Linked DNA regions of Elephas maximus indicus. The protein of the gene in region 1 binds, or shares a complex with, the protein of each later gene. Links are inferred from orthologs where the notes say so. Each region holds a gene or a part of one and is shown on either strand. Other genes may lie near its edges. The genes, in order: ACAD9 and TMEM186.

What was found.
Region 2: ACAD9 (region 1) and TMEM186 share a complex: the UniProt entries of both Homo sapiens proteins name them as parts of the mitochondrial complex. The link is inferred for Elephas maximus indicus from reciprocal best matches to the Homo sapiens genes ACAD9 and TMEM186.

The regions. Positions count from the first base shown.
Region 1 is NC_064838.1:41,142,153-41,153,040, forward strand, and holds the start of ACAD9 (complex I assembly factor ACAD9, mitochondrial), read left to right. Parts: upstream 1-6,924; 5' UTR 6,925-7,027; coding exon 7,028-7,192; intron 7,193-10,888. UniProt on the Homo sapiens protein: As part of the MCIA complex, primarily participates in the assembly of the mitochondrial complex I and therefore plays a role in oxidative phosphorylation.
Region 2 is NC_064830.1:66,918,446-66,928,952, reverse strand, and holds the start of TMEM186 (transmembrane protein 186), read left to right. Parts: upstream 1-6,361; 5' UTR 6,362-6,382; coding exon 6,383-6,385; intron 6,386-7,395; coding exon 7,396-8,028; 3' UTR 8,029-10,507. Other genes in the region: PMM2 (phosphomannomutase 2), read right to left, coding at 6,056-6,148. UniProt on the Homo sapiens protein: As part of the MCIA complex, required for efficient assembly of the mitochondrial complex I.

The DNA.
Region 1 (10,888 bases):
AACATTTGTTCTCGGGATGGTAAGCATATGTGCCCCTTTGAGATACTGAGATCCCACGCTGAGAGCATTCCTGGACCCCACCCCATAGACATATCTTCGCTTGTGTTTATATCTTTCTCTGCTATATTAAAGTTGTTATTGCAGGTAGGGAGATCCCATGAGTTTTGTTGATGTTGCAATGAATTATTGAACTCAGCAGAGAAAAAGACATCCATGTCTAGGCTAGACATGAGCTTGGTGCTCTGCTTTCTATTGGGTCCGTGGGACAACTGGTGTCTTAGGCTGGGTTCTCTAGAGGACCAGAACCAGTGAAATGTATATATATAAATATATACGTAGATTTATTTCAAGGAAATGGCTCCCAGTTGTGGAGGCTGGCAAGTCTTAAATCTATGGGTCTGGCATCTGGCTGAAGGCTTCTTCTGATTTACGTGGTTGCAGGGGCTGACGAACCCAAAATTGACAGGTCAGATGACAGGGTGCTGGCTCACATCCCAAGAACTGGAGGCCAGGTTATGATGAGTCAGATGCAGGATCAAGAGGGAGTGAGAGCTTAGCCAGAATGTTCGTATATATTGGATGCAGACCACACGCCCAAGGAAATTCCCCTTGACATTAGACCACACCCCCAGGGAAATTCCCCTTAACATCAGACCACAAAATGGAGGAAAATACTGAGAATCATTGCCAAGCCAAGTTGACACATGACATTAACTATGACAGCTGGTGTTAGAAATAATGGAGAAAGTCAGAAAATGAAGATATGTTCAACCTCTGCCTCATGGGAACCAGCTTTGTGCTGATTTTTATAGCCAAAGTCAGTTATGTAGTTAGTTATCTATGTACTTATCCCTCTTTGAAAAGGGCTTTCTTAAAATGTTTAACTGTGTCAGGGGCCTATCATTTAGGAGTCTATTGATTCCACACCATAACAGAAGCACTAGATGTATGGGTTCTAGGACATAACCCAAAGTCCTGTGGTCACTAGTAGGCCCTATCTGAGTGCTAGAACATTGTGTGCCAATGACATCATGTTTCCCTAATAACTAATGTACCTCAAGTGGGAACTAATATACATCGAATGGGTAGGAAGTAGTAGTGGACTGCAGTGCAATGAATTGCTTAATATGGCCCTTCTAGCCATAGCCTTTGTGACTTACTCACTGTGATCGAGTAGGACTATGCAAATAAGGTCTATGGAAACCTAATGAAGGAATTGGTCAATTTTGCCATCCTGCTACGCTTAAAATGAGCCACCCCAGAGGTGGGAGGAGGGGATCTCACCGCCGCCAAGAGTGGAGTGCATCCTTTGGACTCAAGATCCCTGTGCTGAGAAGCTCCTGGAACCAAGACACTGTGAGAGAGAGAGAGCAGGAGCTATAACATGTAATGTGGAAGACAGAGAGAAAGAGCTGTGACACTGGCGATGGCGAGAAGCAGTGACAGAGAAACAGTGGCAGCAGAACCAGGAGACTGAAAGGAAACTGCAAGAGACTAGCAGGAGACGGCAGGAGACGGCACAGTGGACTTCCCAGCCCGGGGAGTGAGAAAGCTGAGTACCTTAGGGCAGGAGGCTTACTGGTGGAGTAGGGTGCCTCTGGGCATTTGGGGGAGCTAGGTTTGCTGATTTATGAAGCTAGAGCTGAGCACCTTAGGGCAGGGGCTTACTGGTGGAGTGGGGTGCCTCTAGGCACTTATCAGCAGAGCTAAAGATCTTTGTAACACTTGTCTGAGCAGGGCAGTGGCCAGGAGGCCAGGGAGAGACCTGATGGAGGGCATGGCTGAGGAGAGGCTGTCCTGATCAAAGAACTATATCCTGAGCATCTCTGAACCTGAACTGTAACATGTTACTTCTCTAATAAACTTCATAATCATGTGTATTGTCTGTGAGTTCCGTGTAGCCGTTATAACAATTTATCAAATTCAGCAGAGAAATAGAGTACACCATGGGAGGGACAGATGATGTCAGATTTGGTAAAAAGGACTGGTGAGAGGAGGTATGTCTGACCTCCACCTCACAGGAATCAATCTTGGGCTGCTGATCTTGATACTCTTTCCCGCTTGTGAAGTTAGAGGAGGTCAGATGCCTATACCATGCCATTTTTACATAGATAGTATAAATTTAGAGTATGAGACACAGGTATTCTCTTGAGGGACACCTTTCTACATATAGGTATTTGGTCTCTAGACATTAAGGTATTACCAACTTCTTAGCAGAAAATAAAATAGCAATAAACTTTGCACCATTTATGTGCCTTTTATTAGGATATTGAGACAGGAAGCTTGACTAAACTCATTGTTCACATGCTTGAGATTACGGATTGAATTGTTGTTGTTGTTCGGTGCCGTCAAGTCTTTTCTGACTCATGGCAACCCTGTGCACAACAGAACGAAACACTGCCTTACAATCATTATGCTTGAGATCATTGTTGCAGCCACTGTGTCAATCCACCTCACTGAGGGTCTTCCTCTTTTCTGCTGACCCTGTACTCTGCCAAGCATGATATCTTCTCCAGGGACTGATCTCTCCTGACAACATGTTCCAAGTATGTAAAATGCAGTCTCACCATCCTTGCTTCTAAGGAGCATTCTGGTTGTACTTCTAAGACAGATTTGTTCATTCTTTCGGCAGTCCACAGTATATTCAATATTCTTCGCCAGCACCACAATTCAAAGGTGTCAGTTGTGGATTGAATTGTGTCCCTCAAAAGTATGTGTTGCAAATCGTAGCCTTATGCCTGTAGTTATAATCTCATTTGAGAATGGGTTGTCTTTGTTATGCTAATGAGATAGGATTAGTATAGGGTGTATCTTGAGTCAATCTCTTTTTAGATATAAAAAAGATTAAACAAGCAAGTGAAAGAAGTAGAGATGAGGAAGACTGATGCCAAGCCACATGGAGATCTCCAAGGAACCAGGAAACAGAGCTGAAGAGACAAGAACTTTCCTCCAGCGCTAACAGAGAGAGAAAACCTTCCCCTAGAGCCAGCACCCTGAATTTGGACTTCTAGCCTCCTTAACTGTGAGAAAATAAATTTCCTTTTGTTAAAGCCACCCACTTGTGGTATTTCTATTATAGCAGCATGAGATAACAAAGACAGAATTTGGTACCAAAAGAGTGGGGTGCTGCTCTAACAGATACCTAAAATGTGGAAGTGGTTTTGGAATTGGGTAATGGGTAGATGTTGGAAGCATTTTAAGGTGACTAACGGTAAAAGTGGAAACCCTGGTGGCGTAGTGGTTAAGTGCTACAGCTGCTAACCAAGAGGTCGGCAGTTCAAATCTGCCAGGCACTCCTCGAAAACTCTATGGGGCAGTTCTACTCTGTCCTATAGGGCTGCTATGAGTCGGAATCAACTCGACGGCAGTGGGTTTGGTTTTTTGGTAACAGTAAAAGTGGAGCCCTGGTGGTGCAATGGTTAAGAGCTCAGCTGCTAACCCAAATGTTGGCAGTTCAAATCTACCAGCTGCTCCTTGGAAACCCTACGGGGCATTCTACTCTGTCCTATATGGTCACTATGAGTCAGAATTGACGTGACGGCCACAGGTTTTTTTTTTTTAGTAGTAAAAGCCTAGGTTGCCTTGAAGAGCATGTTGGTAGAATTATGCATGTCAAAGGCAACTCTGGAGATGGCTCAGAAGGAGGTGAGGAGAGCCATAGAGAAAGTCTCTATGGTCTTAGAGAATACATATGGCGCCAGCAACAGAATGTTGCTATAAATGTGGACATTAAATGTGCTTCTGATGAGGCTTTAAAAGGAAATTACGGACATGTGATCGGACAATGGAGGAAGGGTGATGCTTTTTATAAAGTGGAAAAGAACTTGTCTGAATTATGTTCAAATGTTTAGTGGAAGGTAGAACTTGATGAACTTGGATATCTGGCTGAGGAGATTTCTAAGCAAGATCTTAAAGGGGCTGTGTGGTTTCTCCTTGCTGCTTATAGTAAAGTGAGATAGGAAAGACATAGACTTAAAAATGAACTGTACAAAATGAAAACAAAACTTAAAGATTTGGAAAATTCTGTTGTACAAATTAAGGGCACATGTCCTAGAATGTTCACCAAGGACGTGGCTACACATCTTTTGTTAAAGAGATTAAGGCCTGTGACTGATGGATCTAACCAACTACCACAGCAGGAAACTCATCAGCTTAGACTGAGGGGTACAGAGAAAGAATGAAAGGAAAGAAGGCTGTCTACCTCTTAGAATTCTACAGGCAGGAAATAGGCCAAAGGAGCTACATCTGTTGTCCTCCAAGAAAAGAAAAGGACCATGCCTGGAGCAGCTTGGAGATCACCAGAACTGTTAAAAGGAGTATGGGAAGCAGGTCCTTCTCAGTTTCATAGGGTGGGGCCACAGCCTCCTAGGTTTCAGAGTTGGATCTTTGCCAGCTGGGTTCTGGAGTGTGGGGCTGACAGTAAGGTGTGCCAGAGGAATGGGGCCACAACCCAAAGCTGAGGAGGCAGGTCTGCCATGCCGAGGGGACAGAAGAATGGGGCCTGCTGGAGCCGAGGGAGTGGGGTTGCCACGCAGACTAGGACTAGGGGAATAAGACTACCCAAATGCGAGTGAGTAGAGTTGCCGTTTCAGTGGGCCTGGAAGGTGGAGTCAAAGCCCAGGGTGAAAGGCCACCACCCAGAATCCAGAGGGCATGGCCAACACCCAGAGTCTGGAGGGCGGGACCATTGCCTCATGGTCTCAAAGAATAGATGGTTATTTTCAAGCCTTGAGGGCTAATGTAAATTTTTTCTAGGTTTGGGATTTGCTTGGTGCCTATTATCCCTTCTTTCCCTCCAATTTCTCCCATTTGTAATGGAAATGTCTATCTGGTGTCTGTCCCACCGTTGTACTTTAGAAATACGTAACTTCTGGTTTAGATTTCACAGGATCACAGATGAAGAAGACTTCTGCCCCAGGATAGAATATGCCTAAAGTCTCACCCATGTTTGATTTATATGATTCTGAAAATTAGATCTTGGACTTGGAGTAGGCAAGCATGCAATTATAAAGTGTGCTAGCAAACCTTTAAAGCTGAAGCACCTGGCATAATAGAATGACTGACATGAAGTCTGAATTAAAACTCCATTTTGTTACAAGCATCTGCTTCTGCATTCCTGAGAATGTAAGCTTGGTGTCTTCCCATTCGTATGCAAATAATCTTGGGCTTCTGGCTGGGTGGAACCAGTAGACCCTGGCCTATCAATCCTCTTGTTTTCGCAGTTATGTGAGTATACCCAATCCCCTTAACTCACATAAACTCTGTTAACCAATCCCAACCAAAGCCCTACCCCCTCCTGCTTGGTGGTTTCCTGCCTCCTACTTAAGAGTCAGAATCACTGGACAGCGAGATGTTCGTTGTTGTTTTCTTTAAACTTCACTAATTGCATGCCTCATAATTAGAATATTATAAACTAAGTTCCTGATTCAACCCTATAACTATGCCCATGTGACTGCAGCTTTTTGGAGAGCTGGTTTTTACTTTGTGAGATCAAATGTGTCCCCAGCTCCTTTGCTATCAATAAATCTTTTTTTCTTAAATATATTTTTAATTTTTTTTTATTGTGCTTAGTGGGTTGGTGATTTTAAGGTGAAAGTTTACAGAGCAAATTAGTTTCTTGTTGAACAATTAATACACATATTGTTTTGTTGTGACATTGGTTGCTAACCCTGCAACACGTCAACACTCTTCCCTTCTGGACTGCCATGCTTTTCAGCTATACGCATCCCCTCCTAATGGAGTCTCTTTTGCTCTTCCCCAAAGCATGCTGGGGATGAATTCGGGATGGACTCAGGCTACCGTACAAGGCTGGGGATGGTGTGACTGGGCCAGTGGCCAAGGCCAAAGAACGCCTTAGCAACAAGAAGGAGAACAGCTGGGCCTGGAAGTGAAGTTCCTGGGAACAGTAATGCCCAAGAACGTGGGAGAAAACAACGAGCCTTTGTCCCAGCTGGAACGGTACGTAAGCTTGTGCCTCCTGCTAGGTGGTTGCAAAGCGCTGAACTGGTCCAGGCACCGCCCTGGGCCACGGTCTGTAAGTAACCTTCGGGAATAAACAGTATGTCATGATCGCTGGTTCCAGAGTTTTTATCTGGTCTCTTGGAGATGCCGCCCACCTTGGGTTCGGGTGCCGCTGTGTTTTTACACAACGTGGACCTTAGGTTTCCCATTTTCATTTGCCCAGCTTCCCTGTCCCCTCGTGCCTTCTCATCCTTGCCCCTGGGCTGGTGTGCCCACTTAGTCTCCTATACAGGTTCAGCTACGGGTGTGTTACTGTTTTATAGGCTTGTCTAATCTTTGGCTGAAGAGTGAACCTCAGGAGTTACTTTGGTACTAAGTTAAAGGAGTGTCCGGGGGTCCATACTCTCGGGGTTTCTCCAGGCTGTCAGACCAGTAAGTCTGGTCTTTTTCAATAAATCTCTTTACTTCCGTTTTAAGCAGAGTAGTCATTGTCACGCGAGGAGAGAAGCAAAACAAAATGAACCCCCATGTATCTATCACCTACTTAAAAAATGCAATATTATCTGCACTGTGAGCGCCCCTCCGGTGATAACCAATTTCGTGTCTTTTTTCCCCCACTCCTTTGCTTTTTTTTTTTTTTTTTTTGCTTTAGGGTCGCTAGGAGTTGGAATTGACTCCACGGCAACGGATTTTTTTTTTTTTTTTTGCTTTAGTTTTACCTTGTACTGCTTGCCCCTGCCTCAGGAAGAGAGGCAAGTGGAGGCAGTTGGGCCGCTTCTTAAGCACCTGGAAGACTCTCAGGGCTGAGGGTTACGCAAACAACCGCTCGCGTTTGAAAACAAAACCTTCCCGGGGGCCCCCAGCAACTAACGTGAGAAGCCGCCCATTGAGGTGATCCCCAGCCCACTCGCCCTGCCCTCCCCTGCGGCCCAACGCGGCGCATGCGCACTGGCGACCGGCGGCGCCTAGCAGGCCAGTGGCGTCATCAGGCGGCGCGATCCCGCGCACTTCAGCCTGAAGCACTGAGGAAGAGGTGACACTGGTAGTCTGAGCGACTTCAGGCAGCATGAGCGGCGGCGGACTCTTCCTGCGCGCGGCGGCGACGACGGCGACGGCGACGGCGCGTGCCTGCCGGGCTCTGGCGGCCTTCACGGCGAGCCGACGCTCGCTGCGCACCAGCCCACCGAGCCGAGGTTTCGCCAAGGAGCTCTTCCTAGGCACAATCGAGAAGGTAACGCCCACCCTTGCTCTCGGGCCCCCGCTTTTCGCCCTTAGCAGGAAGACTGGGGTCGACGTGTCAGAGCCCCCAAACCTGCCTGACAAGAATCACCTCGGTGTGGGGTGTTTTAAAACTCCGGATTCCCGAGTTCCACTAGCAGTCCAGCGCTTTAACCACAGCGCCACCAGGGCTTGTAACTCTCCTTTTATAGTTGGAAGACTTGGATTTGGCCTTGACTGTTTTTTGTAACTTTAGCCTTCGTTCTTTCAACCTTGAAATGGAACTAGTGTTGTCTCTACGTCACAGATGTGCTGTAACGCCCCAATGAAATATATGGTGCATGAAAGTGATTTTTAAACTGTAAGATACTCTGTTTATTTTTTTTAATGTTTTTAAGATACGCTGCAGATACAAGAGGCAGCAGAGTAAGTAACGCTGGCTTCAGTACTTACTAGTTTTGTCACTTAACGCCGCTGTGCCTCAGTGTGCTTATCTACGAAATGGAGTAAAAACAGTACTCATCTCCTACTAAAGGTGCCTTGCAAACCAAAAAAAAAAAAAAATTTGTATGAAGTGCTTTGAGCAAGACTTGGTCCAAATGTTGGCTGGTACTGTATCACTTAGTTCCTGGTTTGTCATTAGAACAGTCCTCTAAGTTTGTCAGACCTTTATACAGACATTGCAGTTGCAGGAGCTGAGACTCAGACTGAGAGTGGTTTGCCCCTCTAGGAAATGCAAAGCTAGGTCTTTAAAATTTGGAAAACCATTTTCCCCAAAACTTGGGAGTATGTGGTGCTCTGTCCTGGGACCTCATGCCTCCCAGAAGCATGGTGAGGAGAGAACACACATCTGTCATGTTTCTTTCTTCAAACCTCTGCCACCACCTCCCGCATCCTCACTCTCAGCTTTGCTGCCCGTCTCACTGAGAAAATACATGTAGTCAGATGAGAACTTCCATCACCACATTTGCCCTCTCCTCCCATCATGTGTGTCCACATCTTCTACATTCTATCACTTTGGATGGCTACTAGCAAAGGCCAACTCATCTCTAGATGCTATGCCTTCTCACCTACTCAAGGACATTGATCCAGAAATTCTCTCCTTTCTCATCTGCATTGTTGTGGATTGAATTTTGTCCTTGCCAAAATATGTGTTGAAATCCTAACCGCTATACCTATGGATGTAATCCTGTTTGGCAATAGGACTTTCTTTGTTGTGTTAATGAGGCCATACCACTGTAGGCTGTGTCCTAAACCTAATCACTTCTGAGTTATAAAAAAAGCAGATGAGACACACATGCACACACGGGGGGGGGGGGGACAGCATGGGACAGATGCCATGGGGGGGATCATCAGAGAACACCTAGGGGTACTGACAGGGAAGGAATTGACATGGCTGAGATCCTGATTTGGACTTTAACCTCCAGAACTGTGAGAAAATAGATTTCTGTTTTTTAAAGCTGCTCTGGAGCCCTAGTGGTGCAGTAGTTCAGAGCTTGGCTGCTAAACAAAAGGCGAGCAGTTTCAATCCACCAGACGCTCCTTGGAAAATGCTACAGGGCAGTTCTGCTCTGTCCTGTAAGGTCGCTATGAGTCGGAATTGACTTGATGTCAATGGATTTTTTTGGTTGTTAAAGCTGCCCACTTGTGGTATTTCTGCCACAGCAGTACTGGGAAGCTAAGACATGCATCATCAGTTTTTCCCTCTCCACCGGATCTTGAGCCCATGCCGTTCGGGCATTTGTCCTGAACTATCTATGGTATACTAAAGCTGCTCTCGGGAAGAACAGCAGTGACCTCCACATTGCCAGATCTTGTGGTCTGTTCCTGGTTTTCATCTGACTTGACCCATCAGTGGCATCTGACACATTTCATCACTCCCCCCTCTTTGATAGACCTTTTCCACCCGTTTTGTTGTTAGTTGCCATCGAGTTGATTCCACCTCCAACAATGGAACAAAATGCTGCCTGGTCCTGCACCATCCTCACAACCACTCTTGTGCTTACGCCCATTATTGCAGCCACTGTGTCAGTCCGTCTCATTGAAAGTCTTCCTCTTTTTCACTGTCCCTCTGCTTTATCAAACATGATGTCATTCTCCAGGGACTTGTCTCTCCTGGTAACATGTCTAAAGGATGTGAGATGAACTCCTACCATCCTTGCTTTTGAGGAGCATTCTGGCTGTACTTCTTCCAAAACAGATTTGTTCATTCTTTTGGCAGTTCGTGGCATATTCAGTTTTCTTCGCTGACACCGTAATTCAAAAACATCAATTCTTTTATAGTCTTCCTTATTCATTGTCCAGCTTTCACATGCATATGAGGCGACTGAAAACATCATGGCTTGAGTCAGGCACACCTCAGTCCTTAAACTGACATCTTTGCTTTTTAACACTTTAAAGAGATCTTTTGCAGCAGATTTTCTCAGTGCGATGCGTTGTTTGATTTCTTGACTGCTGCTTCTGTGGGTGTTGATTGTGGATCCAAGTAAAATGAAATTCTTTACAACTTCAATATTTTCTCCTTTTATCATGATATTGCTTATTGGTCCAGGTTGTGAGGAGTTTTGTTTTCTTTATGTTGAGATGTAATCCGTACTGAAGGCTGTGGTCTTTGATCTTCATCAGTAAGTGCTTCAAATCCTCTTCATCTTCAGCAAGCAGGGATGTGTTGTGTGCATATTGCAGGTTGTTAGTGAGTCTTCCTCCAATCCTGATACCACATTCTTCTTCATACAGTCCAGCTTCTCAGATTTTTTGCTCAGCAGACAGATTGAATAGGTATGGTGAAAAGATACAACCCTAACACGTACCCTTCCTAACTTTAAACCATGCAGTACCCCCTTGTTCTGTTCGAATGACTGGCTCTTGGTCAATGTATAGGTTTCTCATGAGCACAATGAAGTGTTCTGGAATTCCCATTCTTCGCAATGTTATCCATAATTTGTTATGATCCACACAGTCAAATGCCTTTGCATAGTCAGTAGAACACAGGTAAACATCTCTCTGGTTTCTCTGCTTTCAGCAAGGAGCATCTGTCATCAGCAATGATATCCTTCGTTCCACGTCCTCTTCTGAATCCAGTGTGAATTTTTGGGAGTTCCTTGAGGATGTATTGCTGCAACTGCTTTTGAATGACCTTCAGCAAGATTTTACTTGTGTGTAATATTAATGATGTTGTTCAATAGTTTCCGCATTCTGTTGGATCATCTTTCTTTGGAATGGGCACAAATATGGATCTCTTTCCAGCCAGGTAGCTGTCTTCCAGATTTCTTGGCAGAGTCGAGTGAGCACTTCCAGCACTGCATCCATTCGTTGAATCATCTCAATTGGCATTCTGTCAGTTCCTGGAGCCTTGTTTTTTAGTGTACTGGTTTTTTTTTTTTTTTTTTTTTTTTTAATGATTTAGGTAGAGTTTACATAGCAAATTAATTTCTCATTAAACAGTTAGTACACAAATTGTTTCGTGACATTGGTTGCTAACCCCGTGATGTGTCAACACTTTCCCCTTTTCCATCCCAGGTTCCCTGTTTCCATTTGTACAGTTTTCCTGTCCCTTCCTGCCTTCTTGTCTTTGCTTTTGGGCTTGTGTGCCCATTAGCCTCATATACGTGATTGAATTATGAAGCGCGTCCCTCATGTGTGTTATTATTGGCCCTATAGACCTGTCTAATCTTTGGCTGAAGGGTGAACCTCAGGAGTGACTTTAGTA
Region 2 (10,507 bases), on another chromosome or scaffold:
GCACAGTAAAATTGTTTTGATGTTCCCAAATTAACTTTGTGCTGATATTCACACAGAATCCTTTAGAAATCACCCCGGCCAAAATAAAACACAAAGAAAGAACCAGAAACTTGAAGTTAAGGTGGAATAGTTAGAAAATTCACCTTCTAAAAGAACTCAATATTAAAGGACTTTTGGGGGATAACATGAACCCTGGTGGTGCAGTGGTTAAAGCACTGGGCTACTAACCTAAAGGTCAGCAGTTCAAACCCACCAACTGCTCCACAGGTGAAAGGTGTGGCAGTCTGCTTCCATAAAGATTACAGCCTTGGAAACCCTATGGGACAGTTCTCCTTTGTCCTATAGGGTTACTATGAGTCAGAATTGACTTCGGTGGCAACGGGTTTGGCTTTTTTTTTTTGGTCGGGGGATAATTGAGGAAATGTGACTACTGACTAGAGGTAGGCGTCTATGAACTAGGGTCTGCAGGCCAAACGTGGCCTGCTGCTTGTTTCTGTAAATAAGTATTTCTGGAATGCAGTCAACACTGGAATGAGTAGTTGTGACAGAGGCTATATGGCCTATGGTCTCAAATATTTACTATCTGGCCTTTTACAGAAAAAAAGTTTGCTGCGCCTTGGGCTCGGTATTAAATACTATTAGAAGGTTGGTGATCGTTTACCATCTGGCCTTTTACAGAAAAAGTTTGCTGAACCCTGGGCTAGGGTATAACATTACGGAGTTGGTGATAATTTTCTTAGGTGTGATGATGATACTGTGGTTATGAACGAGGATGTCCTTGTTCTGAAGAGGTACATGCTAAAGGATTTAGGGGCGAAGTTCCATGATGACAGCAGCTTAGAAAGTGGCTCAGCAAACCAAAACTAAACCAAACTCGCTGCTGTCAAGTCGATTCTGACTCATAGCCACCTTACAGGACAGAGCAGAACCACCCCATATGGTTTCCAAGGAGCAGCGGGTGGATTTGAACTGCCAACCTTTTGATTAGCAGCTGAGCTCTTAACCACTGCACCACCAGGGCTCAGCAAAAGACAAAAAAAAGAGAGAGACAAAGTTAATATAACAAAATGTCAACCACTGTTGAATCTAAGTGGCGGAGCTATGGGTGTTCTGTGTGCTACTCTTTCAATGATTATGTACATTTGAAATTTTTCATAATGGGAAGTTGGAAAAACACTTCACTTAGGTTTATGTCTCCCTACTTTTTGCAGACTATCGTTGTAAGTACCAACTGTCTTTATATGGAACAGCATTTTTTAGCAAAGTACACAGCACAACAAAATTCTACTAAAATAGTGACATGTACCCCCACACATTTGTCAGTTTGTTGTACTGTGGGGGCTTGTGTGTTGCTGTGATGCTGACATGTGATAGTCTGATATACTGCCGGAGGATGAGGCCCTCAGGTTGGAAGGTGCTGAAAATACAACTAGGGAAGAGCTGCCTCCTCAAAATAGAGTTGACCTTAATGAAGTGGATGGAGTCAAGCTTTTGGGGCCTTCATTTGCTGAAGAGAAGAAACAGTTGCAAACATCCATTAAAAACTAGAACCTGGAATGTATGAAGTATGAATCTAGGAAAATTAGAAATCGTCAAAAATGAAATGGAACGCATAAAGATCAATATTCTAGGCATTAGTGAGCTGAAATGGACTGGTACTGGTCATTTTGAATCAGACAATCATATGGTCTACTATGCCGAGACTACCAACTTGGAGAGGAATGGTGTTGCATTCATCGTCAAAAAGAACATTTCAAGATCTATCCTGAAGTATAGCGCTGTAAGTGATAGGATAACATCCATACGCCTACAAGGAAGACCAGTTAATAGGGCTATTATTCAAATTTACACTCCAACCCCTAAGGCCAAAGAAGATTTTTATCAACTTCTGCAGTCTGAAATTGATAGAACATGCAATCAGGATGCACTGATAATTACTGGTGATTGGAATGCAAAAGTTGGAAACAAAGAAGGGTCGGTACGGCCTTGGTGATAGAAAGGATGCTGGAGATAGCATGATAGAATTTTGCAAGACCAACAACTTCTTCATTGCAAATACTTTTTTTCACCAACATAAACAGTGACTATATAACACGGACGTCGCCAGATGGAATACACAGGAATCAAATCAACTACATCTGTGGAAAAAGACAATGGAAAAGCTCAATATCATCAGTCAGAGCAAGGCCAGGAATCAACTGCGGATCAGACCATCAATTGCTCATATGCAAGTTCAAGCTGAAACTAAAGAAAATTAGACCAAGTCCACGAGAGCCAAAGTACGACCTTGAGTATATCCCCCCTGCATTTAGAGACCATCTCAAGAACAGTTTTGATGCATTGAACACTAATGACTGAAGACCAGATGAGTTGTGGAATGACATCAAGGATATCATACGTGAAGAAAGCAAGATATCACTAAACAGACAGGAAAGAAAGAAAAGACCAAAATGGATGTCAAAAGGAAAAAATGATGAAGTAAAAGAGCTGAGCAGATTTCAAAGGGTGGCTTGAAAAGACAAAGTATTATGATGACATGTGCAGAGACCTGGACATAGAAAACCAAAAGGGAAGAACATGCTCAGCATTTCCCAAGCTGAAAGAACTGAAGAAAAAATTCAAGCCTTGAGTAACAATACTGAAAGATTCTACAGGGAAAATATTAAACGACGCAGGAAGCATTCAAAGAAGATGGAAGGAATACACAGAGTCACTATACCAAAAAGAATTGGTCGACGTTCAACCATTTCAGGAGGTAACATATGATCAGGAACTAATGGTACTGAAGGAAGAATTCCAAGCTCCACTGAAGGCACTGGCAAAAAACAAGGCTCTGAGAATTGACAGAATACCAACTGAGATGTTTCAAGAGATGGATGCAGCGCTGGAAGCACGTACTTATCTATGCCAAGAAATTTGGAAGACCTACCTGGGCAACTGACTGGAAGAGATCCATATATATGTCTATTCCCAAGAAAGGCGACCCAACTGAAATGTAGAAATTACCAAAAAACATCATTATCACATGCAAGCAAAATTTTGCTAAAGATCATTCAAAAGCGGCTGCAGCAGTATATCGACAAGCACTGTCAGAAACTCAAGTCGTCTTTAGAAGAGGATGTGGAACCAGGGATATCACTGCTGATGCCAGATGGATCCTGGCTGAAAGCAGAGAATACCAAAAAGATGTCTACCTGTGTTTTATTGATTATGCTAAGACACTCGACTGTGTGGATCATAATAAATTATGGATAACATTGCAAAGTATGGGAATTCCGGAACACTTAATTGTGCTCATGAGGAATCTGTACATGGAGCAAGAGACAGTTGTTCAAACAGAACAAGGGGATATTGCATGGTTTAAAATCCAGAAAGGTGTGCATCAGGGTTGTATTCTTTCATCAGGCCCATTCAATCTGTATGTTGAGCAAATAATTTGAGAAGCTGGGCTATATGAAGAAGAACGGGGCATCAGGATTGGAGGAAGACTCATTAACAACCTGCGTTATGCAGATGACACAACCTTGCTTGCTGAAAGTGAAGAGGACGTGAAGCACTTATTGATGAAGATCAAAGACCACAGCCTTCAGTACAGATTACACCTCAACATAAAGAAAACAAAAACCCTCACAACTGGACCAATAAACAACATCGTGATAAATGGAGAAAAAATTGAGGTTGTCAAGCATTTCATTTTACTTGGATCGACAATCAACACCCATGGAAGCAGAAGTCCAGAAATCAAGACACATTAAGACCTCTTTAAAGTGTTGAAAAGCAAAGATGTCACCTTGAAGAACAAGGCGTGCCTGACCCAAGCCATGGTGTTTTCAATCGCATCATACGCATGCGAAAGCTGTACAATGAATAAGGAAGACTGAAGGAGATTTGACGTCTTTGAATTATGGTGTTGGGGAAGAATGTTGAACATACTATGGATGGCCAAAAGAACAAACAAATCTGTCTTGGAAGAAGTACAACAAGAATGCTCAGTAGAAGCAAGGATGACAAGACTTTGTCTCACATACTTTGGACATGTTATCAGGAGGGATCAGTCCCTGGAGAAGGACATCACACTTGGTAAAGTAGAGGGTCAGCAAAAAAGAGGAAGACCCTCAAAGAGATTGACAGTGGCTGCAACAGTTGGCTCAAGCATAGCAACAACTGTGAGGATGGTGCAGGACTGAGCGGTGTTTCGTTCTGTTGTGTACAGGGTCGCTATGAGTCAGAACCGACTCGAGTGCACCTAACAACAAGTGACGTGTGCAAAGCCCTGGAGTCCATTCTAATTAGTTTTTATGTTTTTAGCTCGGTCCTTGTTTCAGCAGTGCAAGTCTTCTGCTTCTGGATTTTACTGCACTTATCAGTTTGCAAATGCATGTAATGATGAAGAGAAAGACTGTATGATGAATAGCTCTTTTGCGAAAAAAATTTTACCTAGAGCACCCAACACAGAAACAATTCTCTTTTAAATTACAGAGTTTATTTATTTGAGTGTAAAAATAATTTACGGTTACTGCAAACAATATCATGTTTCAAATGTCTTAAGAGAATACGTTGTAGGCTACCTAACCTGGTTTCTTTGCTATTTCGTACTTTATACTTAAAAAAACCCATTGCTGTCAATTCAATCCTGAGATTCCTATTCAGTGACCCTCTAGGACAGAGCTGAATTGCCCCATTGAGTTTCCAGGGAGCGGCTGGTGGATTTGAATTGTCGATGTTTTGTTTAGCAGCCTAGCAGCCATAGCACTTAACTACTATGCTTAGTTATTCTAATTCTTTTTGGAAATCCAAAGCACTTTCCTGAACAGCACATTCAGAAACTGAAACACCTTCCACTTTAGCACAGTGGTAGGAAATGGCAAAAGTGGCAAATAACAATACCCCGAGACCCAGGGACTGACCAGGTCTACTGTGAAACCGAGAAGGTCATTGCTTCACTGGGTCTCAGTTTCCTTAAACGTAATATGGGAATAACAACTACCCTTCCTGAGGTGGAAGAGGGAGGAAGGAAGGGTTGAAAGGGTCCAATGATAAAGTCTAAGTCTTGGAAATGTAAACCCTAGACCCAGGGATAGACAAACTATAGTCCACCAACCAATCGGAACTGCTGTTTGTTTTTATGAAGTTTTATTAGAACATGGCCATGCCCATTCATTTACATATGGTCTGTGGCTGCTTTTGCAGAGCTGAGTAGTAGTTACTACAGATCATATGGTCCACAAAAACAAAAATTTACTATCTTGCCCTTTACAAAAACAGGAATTCCCCAATTCCAGACAATTACGTACTCTTAATAGCCCATAAACGGATGATCACTGGACCTCAGAGCCAAAAAGGGCCCTTGGAAACTTGCACTCCCAGATTTTGCTGTTACAGGCAAGAATAGGTTTCAGTTAAGAAAGATCAACATCCTCACAGGCACCATATGTAAGAGGTAATGTCCCCATTTAAAGGGGCAGATGCTGAGGCTCAGAGAGGTTAAGTGACTTGCTCAAGGCCACACAGCTGCCAAAAAGTGAAGCTGAGGCTCAGGTAGGTCTGTTTAACCCAGAAACCTGTATTCTTAAGATCAGCCTACATGGCACAGCTTATGGGTGGCAGGAGGAGGGTGGTGCACAGTTGGTCAGGGGCCTGAAGACCAAAACCAAACCTAAGCCGTTGCTGTCGAGTAGATTTCGACTCATAGCGGCCCTGCAGGACAGAGGAGAACTGCTCCACAGGGTTTCCAGGCCATCGGTACCCAGGGTTGGCAATGAAAGTCCAGAACTGGACTTCCCAACCCAGTGCAAGTTCTCTACCCTCAAGGGTTTTTCGGTCCCATCTCATCTCTTCGAGCACCCTGACGTCTTAAAGAGCTGGGTGACTTCCTTCGCATCCCTCCAGGCACACAGAATAGAGTTCAGCACCCCAGGAAGAGTGGGCAGTCATTAACCGACCGTCGGTGGTCCTTAGCCGCCCCCTGGCGCCTACCCGAGGCGATCTTTAGCCCAATCGGGACCCATCAGGGGGCCCCGCACCGGCTGCCGCCAGTTCGCTGGGTACCGCCTACCTGCCGCGGGGCCGTCAGCGTCCCGTCCACATCGAAGAGGCACAGTGCTGGGCCGGTAGCCGCCATATCTCCAGTCCCGCACGCACCAAACATGACCCGTTGGCACCCGGAAATCGACCGGAACTTCCGGGTTCGGCACCCGCGCCGCAGGGCACGCCGGGACGAGGAGACTAGGCTCTCACAATGCCTGCAACTCGCCTCAGCCACTAGCGCTGAACCACAAGTCCCAGAACACAACACACTCCTGAGTTTCCCGTAGTATGAGCATGCGCTCCTAGAGGTTCCGGGGGCAGGCGGTATTCACTTCCGGCAGCGACTAGCGGGGCTATGGTAAGAAGGAGTGTGGTGGGGGTTGAGGAAGGTGACGTGCTTTCGGGGTCGGGGTCAGGGCTTAGGGCAGGCATGCAGGGCGCCTGGGTGTCTCAGTCTGAGAGTCCGCGGAAGGAAGTTCCGGCATGGGGAACGGTTTTCTGTTCCCTGTGTCCTGAAGTCACATGGACCACTGAAAACGGGATAGCTAAAATTCACTGAGCGTTCACCGTGCATCGGTGTGTTGAGGGCTTTAAAACCATAGTCTCATTCAGTAGGCCCAGAATCCCCATTTTGAAAGATGAGGAAACTGAGGCTCAGAGAAGTTGAGTAACTTGCCCAAGGATACACAGCTAGTGACCATTGGGGCCAGGATTGGAACCCGGATCTGGCTCCAAAGCTCTTTCCACTGCACAAGGTTGTAGAACTGTGCACCTAATAAAATCTTTGCGCCTTGTGTTGGGGCCTCCCTTCCCCTCCTCTGCTGTTTCCCCTTCCCTGAACTAGGCTAAGAGAAAACAGCAGTTCCCTCCAGTACCCAAGCTAACTCAAACCTAACCTATTTATAGTGATAGCTGTCTCATGGATTTATTTTCTAGTTCGCCACTAGGACATCGATTGCTTAGTTTTCCTGCTTGGGGAAATGTTCGCGAAGACTTGTGGATCCAATGCCCAGCCCGGAGTTGGCCCACCCTGGGTATTTGTTGAATGAATGAAGGCTGGTCCGTTTTTTCTGTACCTACTTGGAACAGTTTAAGGGTCAGACACTGCCCCATTCACACTTGCCGTGTGTCCTTGGGCAAATTTCTTACCCTCTCTGGCCTTAGTTTCCTCAGTGATAAAGTGGAAGTAATGGCAACTATCTCATAGTTGTCATGAAGGTCTGGCTTTACCTTTCCCTCCATCTCTGGTGATACCAGAGACCTCCCAGAATTGTTGGGAGCCTCCGTGGGACCTGCTTTGCAAATGTTTATTGTTTGATTAGCATGGTTTAGTTCCATGAGAGAAACGGTTTCTTGTCTCCCTTCCAGGCTGCCCTGCTCAGAGCAGTGACCCAGTGGCAGAGGGTAGCTGCCTGGGGGAGGCCGCTCCATGGGCTGTGCTGCAGTGCGCGGGATCCCAGGAGGTGGGTGGGAAGCAGACCACCCACCTTGAAGGAGACACCATCAGACACAGAGACGGAGAAATTCCAGATGGTCTACCGGTTTGGTGCCATCAGAGTCTTCGGATTCCTGTCTCGGCTGAAGGTGGCACAGACGGCCCTGACGGTGGTGGCCCTGCCGCCAGGCTTCTATTTGTACACCCAGGGCCTGATGAGTCTTGGCTCCCTGTGCCTCATGGGTGGGATAGCTGGCTTTGCCCTGGCCATGCTGTACTGGATGAGCCATTTCTTCCGGAGGCTGGTGGGCATCTTGTACGTGAATGAGTCAGGCACGGTGCTGCGGGTGGCCCACCTGACCTTCTGGGGCTCGCGGCAGGATACCTGCTGCCCCGTGGCTGATGTGATCCCCCTCATGGAAACTAGGGACCGGCCCCAGGAGGTGTTCGTCCGTATCCAGCAGTACAGTGGGAAGCAGACTTTCTACCTTAGTCTGCGCTATGGATGCATCCTGGACAGAGAACGATTCACACAGGTGTTTGGGAGAGTGGACATGCCCAGATAAACTCCTGGAAGCTGGGCTTCCAGGTATCCCTGGGCCACCTGGATCTCTAACAGGAAGGCTGACAAAGAGGAACAGGCAGCTGGAGACTTTGCCAGGGCTCCTAGGAACTTTATGGTGACCCCATGTGTGCAGAGTAGAACTGTGCTCCATAGGATTTTCAAGGCTGTGACCTTTCAGAAGCAGATCAGCTGGCCTTGCAGTCACCATGAGTCAAAATCGACTGGATGGCAAATAACAACAGCAATCCAGGAACTTGTCTTATGGGATGAAGAAATTCATGTGGCAAAAGCTAGTAACCAGGTTTAATAAAAAGGCCCTACGTGCAAGTTCTCACTGCACTTGTGGATAATGTTCAAATAATGGCCAGAAACTTCTCGTAAGAGCCAGTTCTTGGAGGAAGCTGTCTCACGTTCACCCAAGCAGTGCACTGCTGTGGAATCAGAAGGCAGAGTGGTGTGGCTGGGGAGCACCGGATTTGGAGTCAGAAGACTTAGGTCATCTGAACCTTGGTTTTCACTCTGTAAAATGGGGAGTCCCGCCTGTCTCATGAGCTGGGCGGGAGAATAAACAAGTGTCAAAGTGCTTTCCGGACTCAACAGCCCTGAGCAAATGTTGAGCATTATGTCAGAGGTTAGGGCTCTGTGAAAGGCTTCCAGGTGATCGGACAGACTTCCTGAGCCCTGTGCTGTGTCCACTCTGTGTGTCCAGCAGCAGAAGGGACTGGCAGGAAGCCTAGGACGGGGCCACATCTTTCTGCCAGGCTGGTAAACTGCACACTGAATGGCAGGGGTGACATCCAAGCAAACGCAGCAGCCCCTTGGGATTTTGTTCACCACCCAGAGGTATGAGGTTCCCACATTCTGAAGGTTTCATAGTGTAATAAAGACTGATGAACTAGATGCTGATACGCTGGTGCATTATTGATAAACAAAAGCCAATTATAAACCAGTAACCAGTTTCCAACGCTGACTCATGGTGACCCAATGTGTCAGAATAGAACTGTGCTTCACAGGGTTTTCAATGGCTGGTTTTTTAGAAGTAGATCGCCAGGCCTTTCTTCCAAGGCACTTCTGGGTGGACATGAACCTCCAACCTTTCAGTTAGCAGCCAGCCAAGTGCGTTAATCATTCGTGTCACCCAAGGACTCCGTTAGACAAACATGGAATTACAAATGTGGACAAGTAGAGTGAAAGAAGAGCAGGATGGTCTGAGGGAGATGAGCAGCAGGGGCATGATGGGAAAAGGGCACAAGAGGCCCTGGGGAAGGGACATTTCAGCGGAGACCTGAGTGTTGTAGGAGGCAGACACAGTTTGTTTCAGGCTGAAGGAAAAGGGAGTGTGAGGTTCTAAGCTGGGGAAGAGGAGGAGGCCCCTCTGGTGAGAGTGGAGGGAGGGAGGGGAAGGATGGACCAGGAGAGGATGCTGAATTTTATTCTAATCACTGTAGGAAGCTCTCGAAGGAGGTCGGAGAAAGGAGAGACAGCAGGGAAAGACAGTTTGGGAGCTTTTAAGAAAAGGGAGCACTACCTTTTCGTTTTCATTCACTTTAGAAATGCAAATGAAAGCGCACAGCCTTACTGATTTGTTTCAGTCATTAAATTCCCATCAGATGTTAATTCCTGTCAACAAGAGCAAGGTGGGCAGGCTGGGGAGTGTGACGGGCGTCCTAGGATGTTCGGAGGCACCAGGCACCTGCTGCCTGTCAGGTCCGTGCACTCCCCAACAGTGGGGTTCTCCTGCCTGGAGGGGCTGTGTATGTGGGGGCACTGAGACACTCCTTGCATGTGGGGATTCTTCAATTGTATTTAAAAAAAGAAATCTATATTTAAAATTTTTATTGTGGTAAAAATATGTGTAACAAAGTTTGCCGTTTTAACCCTTTTTCAGTGTACATTTAGTGACGCGAGTCATGGTTGCCGTGTTGTGCAACCGTCACCACTATCCATTTCCTCACGTTGCCCATCACTGCCGACTATGTTATATATATTTTACCACAATAATAATACAAAAGAAAAAGTAAAAAGCAAGTGGGTCTCAGCCTTGGCGTCCTGTGCAGAATCACCTGGAGAGCTGTTTTAAAAACACCCAGGCCCAAGAGTTGCTGTAGTAAAGGTTCCCCAGGTGGTGCTAACATGTACGCAGGGCTGCCCTAAAGCATCGCTACTTTTGTGCCTGCGAGGGGTCTGCACTAGGTGAGAGCCACAATTCTCACCAGCCTTGGCATGAAGGAGCCTCCGCTGGGATGCGTGATCTGCTCACGCGGTACCAGCAGAGGGCACACAGAGCAAACACATCATCCTGTCCATTTAGTCCTGACCTAAAATCACCGCTCTCCACGTGCCCAAGGGAAATGGTTTAGGGCTTCTGCAGGGCACCTCTAGGGCTGTGCCTGGGAGCTGCTCTAAACAACCTAAATCAACAGCAGCAAAAACTGAAAGTCGCCTTGCTCAGACTTGGTAGATTCTGGTAGAACCTGGGC